Xenopus tropicalis: one gene and its partner. The protein of the gene in region 2 purifies or fractionates together with the protein of the main gene of each other region. This does not show direct contact. Links are inferred from orthologs where the notes say so. Each region holds a gene or a part of one and is shown on either strand. Other genes may lie near its edges. The genes, in order: cab39 and stradb.

Region 1 (3,827 bases), on a different chromosome or scaffold from region 2:
GAAAGGGGACATGTATTAACCGAACAAAATGCTGTTCTGTCCATCTTCAGCTTCCCAGAAACAAATGATCTCCTTTTGGGCCATGCCAGTTTCTTTGCATCTTTGCTTCTGCTGCTGATGTGTAAGTCGTCGACAGAGTATGCAGCAAGTGAGACATTTGAGCCTGGAGTAGGGCGTCTAAGGGAATTGGTTTGGAGGGCAGGGGAGCTGTATGTGTGGGGTAACAACCCTCCTCTCAGCTGCAAAATGAGACAGCACAGAAAAGGCAATTTATAAAGGCAAGCAGGCTCTTCCCAACCAGAATACAAAAGGGATTAGTCATTGAGGAGATGGGAGGCTTGCTGTTACATCCGGTAACCTTATATCAGAACCTCTCTCTCACACACCTTACTGAATCAGCAATTTTTCTTAAAGTACCACTATAATTCCATTTATTATGTTCATTATGGATTTATTCAATGCAGACTGGCTCAGGGTGCAATTTTAACCTCATCTCAATAACCACCGTCACTCCTTATCCCGAAGGAGTGAGCATGACCTAGCACTGCAGGGGCATGGCACTGTCAAGGCCATAGCCAGCCAAACAGTGCTATAAACACCACTCTCCATAGCAGTTCCTTAGGTGCAAAGCTTGTACAAATAGGTAGCAAGGTTGTATAATTTCTGCCAGCACCGGTATTCCCCTGTAGTAAGAACAATTGTATAGAAAAAATGCAGGCGAATAGCTGCCCTTGGATAATGGGTCACAACATGTTTCAGAACAACAATTCCCAGAAGCTTCTAACATAACCCATTATTAAAACATTCTGGGAAATGTAACGCCTGGGAACTAAAGGTAAATTCACAAATAGAGCTTTAAATAAATGTAACATGTCATATCAAAATTTTCATTTTCTACACCTAGTGCTGCAGGAACGCTGAAAAAATACACTCCTAGGTAGTGCTATCGAAAAGTAATGATATGACATGTTAGTTAAAGGGAGGCAAGTCAGTAAAGGAAAGTGCAGACAGCTTCATCTGTTGGCCTGATGTAAATGTAATTGTGTTTCAGGGTACAAAACAGCAGGTTAATCAGTTCTGGGTTCATCAGCCATGTGACATAGAAGGGAAGGGGTTTGTCACACACACACACAGACCCACACATAACAAAGAGTTGCATGACAGAGAGATGAGCCTGCCGCAATCTGAAATGCCTATATACGCGTGATTAGTGGGTGTGAATCACGGGATGTGGTCAGCAGACTGAGAGTGAACTTTATGTATGGGGTCGTCATCAGGTGTTTAGCTACATTTATATGATTTATTTATAACTCACACTCCATATTACTCAAACGGTGTCATTTGTGTGATGTGCAACTTTTTTTTTTATCTCTCAGGTTTTATATTATTTAACGCCTCTGCAGTTCTACATTTAGGGCTCTGGCACACGGGGACATTAGTCGCCAAATCTCCCTTGTCGCGGGCGACTAATCTCCCCGAAATGCCATACCACCGGCGAGTGGGATGGCATACGCAGCGCCGCGATTTCCCCTGAAATCGCAGAAGTTTCCTCTCGAGGTGACTACTCTCCCCGTGTGCCACAGCCCTTAGGGTGAAGACACATGGAGCTACTAGTAGAAGCTACTTATCGTGGCTACTAAAATAGAAAATGCTGATCATTTACTGATAATTGTCTCTATGTGTGTTTTAGCATATGCAATTCTTAGTATTGTCTATGGCAGGGTATTTTCTGGAGTTTAGAAGCCATGAAAAAGTAGCTGCTACTAGTAGCTCAGTGTGTCTTCACCCTTAAGAATTTATATTGTTAATAGAATCCCACTTACTCTAGCAACCAAGGCAGTGGCTTAAGTGGCAGACAATAAAAATTAGTGCAAGCTCTAGGGATGAGGCCAAGGACCACTGCAGCCATGATGTCATGCAGTGGCGATTGTTGTGACACTGCTTCATCTGCTGGCGAGTGCTAATGATAAACTGATACCAGAAACCAGAAGAGACATGGTAAAGAGCTGTTGCTACTCAGTGTACTTGGCAAATCTCCAAAGCCTATGTCCTCTTGCAATACATGGCTTCCTCCCAGATGTGTATACGGGTAGATGAGTTTACCCGAAATGCTAGAAAAATTGATACAAACGGAGACAGTGGAAAGAGGCACTTTCCATTCACCAGTGCAGCTATTAGGAGCAATGACAGATAAAGAGGTGCATTTTCTTTTCTGTGGGAGAAAAAACATCCCATGCACCACAGTCCTTAAAGTCATTTCATTTTAATAAAACTTTACACAACTGATGGCTACAATTCCTTATGAGATAATGCATTTTTTTTAAATTTTGCTCAGATTTAAAAATTAGGAATTAGATTCAGTTAGGTATTTAGGCCAATCTTTTTAGAAGTATTTGGTATACAAAAAGTATGGAATTGGCAAAAAGAACTAAACAGAAAAGTCCACCATCAACTAAATATGTTAGCCCACATGGCAGTGTTCTCTCCTCTGTAACAAAAGCAGAATGCATAGCTGCCAACTGTTCATTTCAAAAGTCCTTTAGAGCCCCAAAGCTCCCCAGCAAAACTGTCTGGGTGGTGCCTTTATGACAGTCTTAACAGAACAAGTAATGGGAGGACTAGGAAGAGAGAGATGAGGGATAAGAAGTGAAGTAAAGAAAATGAGAATAGAGAAATTATGTAAAGGTGGGTACCAAACCAGAAGTGGCAGTGACAACGTATTGGGCAGCAGGGAGGCACAGTGGCTATACATATATTATATAATAATAAAGTGCATTTGGGGAAGGACACTGAATTGTAATTCATCAAAAGGTAATTCACAGGCGTATCAGTGGAGGGATGAAGAATACAATGTAATAAGGAGAGAGCGTTTATAAGGAACCAGTCACATCTACATGTTATATAAGGAGCATAAGCAACAGTACTGTACCTTCTCTGCCTTCTTATCAGAGATGTCCTGCTTCTCTAGCACAGCTATACTTTCCTTCAGGTTCTTCACTATGTCTGCAGGAGACTTGTGGGACTTCCCAAAGGGAAACGGCATGGTTCGTGAGGTAACACTGCTCTACACTTCTGCACAGGAGAGAATATACAGAAGAACTTCATATAATTTCAGTCTGAAAGCACAATGGGAAACTTCTATTGCCTTATTGCTAAAAGGAAATAATGTTGTGTAATTTGTGGTTGACTTGGTAATAAATAAGTAATAAATAGAAGGTTGAATTAAACACATGGTTTGTACTTATGCATTCCACCTTTAGCAACTGATTGAAGGAAACTGGAAATATACGGCACCATACATATGGAACTAAACTAAGTCCAGTTATGGAGGATATTCCCTTTTTTACCTGAAACAGTGTATAAAGACAGGAAGGGAGCAGCCATTGCTATATTATATAATATATTGCTATATTATATAATAATATATATTATAATCTATAAAATTCACTGTGCGTTCCAATGAATAAATAGAAGAATTGCTGTGAAATGGTGTGCTGGTCCTGTGTGGACACACAGCTTGACTTATATATATATATATTTTTTTTTTTTTTTTTTTTTTTTCAATTTGTATTCATCTAATGGAAATTATTTCCTTCTTGCATTTTTCCTGTTTAGTTAGACTGTTAAAAAATCCATTATGCCTTTTCTTTTAGCTAAAAATAGTCAAAAAAGAGATAATGAGCTCTGCATTAAAAAAAGCCCCCCTTCATTTCAAATTGAAAGTACTGTACTTTCAGTTTCACTGTTTGCCCTGTTTAGTGAATGGACAACTAAGCCCATATATTTACCTTAATGGTGGAATGGTTCCCAGTCTCAGGCTAGCAACC
Region 2 (3,827 bases):
ATTACAGAGAAAAAGGAAATCAATTTTAAAAATGAATTATTTCATTAAAATGGAGTCTATGGGAGACGGCCTTTACATAATTCGGAGCTTTCGGGATAGCGAGTTTACAAATAACAGATCCCATACCTGTACTAACATTTAGGAAAATCCATGTTCCTTGGGGAAAAGTAAAATGCTTTTTCAGCAAATTACAATTTTTTGCAAAAAATGTCTTCAACGGCCAAACAAATTAGAATATTTTCTCTTCCAAGAGAGCGATCCCCATAGACTGAGATTATAAAAAAAATTCTTGTGAGTATCTTACACAAACACTTTACAACAACAAACCAATATTTTCATCTGGATTCCATTTTCTTAAAAATATTGATCTTTAAATGTACAGTACGTGTTTGTAAATCTGACAGTATCTGAAAGTGAAAAGTATTAAAGGACATGCAACCCCCCACAAATCTTTGAATACCTGCCACTCCAGTTATTAAACTGTTAATAGTAAGGCTGCAGCTTCCCCACTTAGGATTCCTTCTCCTCCTCTAACTCACTAAGCCCCCTCCCTTAAAAATTTGCTTTTGTTGCTGGCTAACTGAGCATGCTCAGTTCTTCTTAACTCAGGTTACTTAATAGTCTAGCAGCCAATGAAGAGATGGCAATGCTGGTTTCCATAGAAACTTTGCTCTTGCTGTGCAGAGACATGTATTTTCTCCTAACCTCCTCTCCTGAGCTCAGCTTAACCATTACAGTGCTCAATCCAAGCAGAACTTTTTATTAAATTAATTCTGCCTGTGTAAGCCTGCATTCTTTATTGCATGAACTTTACAGCACACGTGCTGTTTTCAGATGAAATTGTGTGAAAATAACTGCCTGGTAAAAGCTGCAATTTGTTTTAGAAAAATGTGATGGTGCTGGTGAATGGAGGGGATATATGCAATACAAATGATATTGTTCGGGTAGGGGAAATGTGTCCAACTTTTATAAAAATGGTAGGAAAATGTAGGGTTTACTTGTCCTTTACTTGTCTCACAATATTCCCTCAGATCCCATGAAAATCTATTTTGTATCTAATCTTCAGCCACAGAATACAAAAAAATGAAAGCTGCTTAAACAAGTAACTTGTCAAGTTATTAGTGTATTTGTCCATACAGAGATTGTTCAGACTACTGTCTTTGGGGACACTGCAGTCAATATAATTTGTGGTCAATTTCAAGTCAGTTTGTGACAAAAAGGTTAGTTTGCTAAAAAGTCACTGGAAATGCAGTCAGATGTTCTATATATGTAATCCTGTCAGTATGCTGAAGCTTGGTACAGCTGGACATGCAGGGCCACACACTCAGGAGTCAAAAACAAATTCACTAAATAAAAATAAAAAAAGAAATAAAATTCACTGTAAATAGAAGCCTGTGCGACCAGGCTCAGACTAGAAATCTGTAGATTCTGGCAAATGCCAGAGGGGCTGATGTAAGATGCCATAGACAGTCACTATTTAGTGGGCTGGTGGGCTCCTGTTTGGACCTCTATAACCTTAAACTGTAAGGGCCTATTTTGAATTCCAGCCTGGGCCTGTTTGGACAGTACTAATCTTAGCATTTGCACATTACACTACGGACACTAAAATCAAGTCTAGAGCAAATGAGCCCTTAGTAAATCCTTACAAACAATTTCTCAGTTATAGTCGTATAGCAGATTTCAATGAGAGCTTTGAAAACTAGACATGACGACTAGTATATTTAGAGCAGAGATGAGTAATACCTGTGTCCGGTGCATGTCCATAAATGGTACACGCCCAGTGGCTAATTCACAGGCAGTGATGCCAATACTGTAGATGTCCGACTTCACATTGTATCCATAGAGGTCCTAAGGAACGGAATTTGACAATTAAAGTATGAGTTTCACATAGCTAATCCTGTCTGGGTTTAACTTTATGCTGACTTACCTGCCTTAGCAGTTCAGGACTAAACCAAGGAAGCATTGCAGTGCTGAAATTTGGGAAATCATATGCCACCTTTGCTTTCTCTCCATTTTTCACCATACAGTACAAATGACTTAGGCCAGAAAGAGTTACAAGACCCTCTTCTGATATAAGGATATGGCTCGCCTTCACATTTCTTACCAAAGAAAGAAAACAAAGATTCTAAGATGAATTTTATGCATGTTTAACTTGCTGAACACAGTGAGGTTTTTGAAGTTTCTAAAGCAACCAATTCGCTTTAAGTAGTAAACTAAAATTAAGTATTTTTGTACAGGTTATTCTTTCATAGCAAAGTTAAACGACAAATGCCAAAATGTCCCCAGTTTCCTTTTGTCCCAGCAGTAATGTAAGTCTCCCCCACCCCACTAAACAAAATCCAATGTTTTTCTCCCTTCTCCAAGCATCTCCATGCTCTCTCCCACACATTCTTCCAGTGTCCTCTCTTCCTCCCACACACTCATTTCCTGTTTTTTGGCACATGTTCTCTGCCTTCCAACTACTACTTCTCACTGCTAAAAGTATGAAAGTCTGTAAAAGGATTTTGCAGGACCAGTTATTTTTGTCCCACTTACTGAAAAGTTTCCTAGATTCTGTCCTTTTTCAGAATTACTGGATTGACACCCCACATTGCAGACAATTAAGTGTTAAATACCCCCCATTAGATCATGACTTTCTTAACAATGATCCTGCTACAATTCCAGCAATATCAGCAAAAAAAGAGATTTCTTTCTCAAGAAATTGTGATCCAATCTTTCCAAGCAACTTTTTTCTGATTTACTTACCTGTGGATATAACTATTTTGGTGCAGATAATGAAGTGCTTTTAATGCTCCATACAATATGCTTCCTATTAGAGCTTCATTCATTCCATCTGGGTAATAGTTCTTTAGGAGGCTACTAGCTGAACCTTGGAGTAAAAGGTTAAACATTATTCGCTTGCATTCTTTTATTTGTTACAGAGGACATATACAACTGTTGACTACAATGGAAGGTAGTCCAGAGCTGGTTATGGGTGTTCTGACTGCCCATACAAGTAATAATGATCAAAAGGTCCCTAAAACTTAATGTTGGATAATTTTTTTTTTGCATGTGCTTTTGTGCTTTGACTGATGTTTTTTTACATTACATTAATACAAAGAATGATGGGTACTCAGGAAGTTAGACCTTTAACTAACAGGGAGCATAATTCCACATTGGTTCAGCTACTTACCGTAAGCCATGAAAGGACTGACAATCCAAAGCAAAGCCCCTGTGGTGAAAATTTTCCAAGAAACCATGATATTGGGATGCCGAAAAAATGATGACATAACCACCTCATTCTGAAGAAAAAAATGAAGAACACTGTAAATTATTATTGTAAAGGAGAACTAAAGGTATAATCACTAGGCACCCCTAATGATTATAATCGCTTATTTGTGATACCCTGGGTCGGTGCTTCCGTTATGAGAAAACTGCTCTGGCCTGGGGTATTTCTGTAAAAGCTCATTCACTGCAATCTTCTCTTCTGTCTTCTTTTCTTTGGGCCCAGACAGTTGTGTGTGCAGAAGAGTGAAAAAGCTAATTTTTTGTGTTTAAACTCAGCTTTCAGTCTACTGTGCATAAACTGCCCAGACTGAAACAAAGACAAGATGGAGGAAGCTGAAGAAGATGGTGAAGATGGACAGGGCTAATGCAGTTTTTATTAAAGGTGAGCACCGACCTAAGGTATGAGGTAAGCAATTATAAACACTGGGGGTGCACCCCCAGCCATTATACCTTCTGTTCTCCTTTAGCTACATATGGGGTTGCTAAGGAAAAATACTTATGTGGTTGCTACAGAGGAACAAATCTAAGGGTAAGAATGCAAATCTTGAGATTATCCAGAC

Evidence for each region.
Region 1: the proteins of stradb (region 2) and cab39 purify together in Homo sapiens (affinity purification with mass spectrometry; 3 studies listed by BioGRID and IntAct, counting the BioPlex papers as one, with this or other methods). This does not show direct contact. The link is inferred for Xenopus tropicalis from reciprocal best matches to the Homo sapiens genes STRADB and CAB39.

What each region holds. Positions count from the first base shown.
Region 1 is NC_030681.2:128,008,547-128,012,373, forward strand, and holds part of cab39 (calcium-binding protein 39), read right to left. Parts: 5' UTR 3,789-3,827; intron 3,073-3,788; 5' UTR 3,044-3,072; coding exon 2,930-3,043; intron 240-2,929; coding exon 21-239; intron 1-20. UniProt on the Homo sapiens protein: Component of a complex that binds and activates STK11/LKB1. In the complex, required to stabilize the interaction between CAB39/MO25 (CAB39/MO25alpha or CAB39L/MO25beta) and STK11/LKB1.
Region 2 is NC_030685.2:53,862,668-53,866,494, reverse strand, and holds part of stradb (STE20-related kinase adapter protein beta), read right to left. Parts: intron 3,282-3,827; coding exon 3,173-3,281; intron 2,870-3,172; coding exon 2,746-2,869; intron 2,100-2,745; coding exon 1,928-2,099; intron 1,849-1,927; coding exon 1,744-1,848; intron 1-1,743. UniProt on the Homo sapiens protein: Pseudokinase which, in complex with CAB39/MO25 (CAB39/MO25alpha or CAB39L/MO25beta), binds to and activates STK11/LKB1.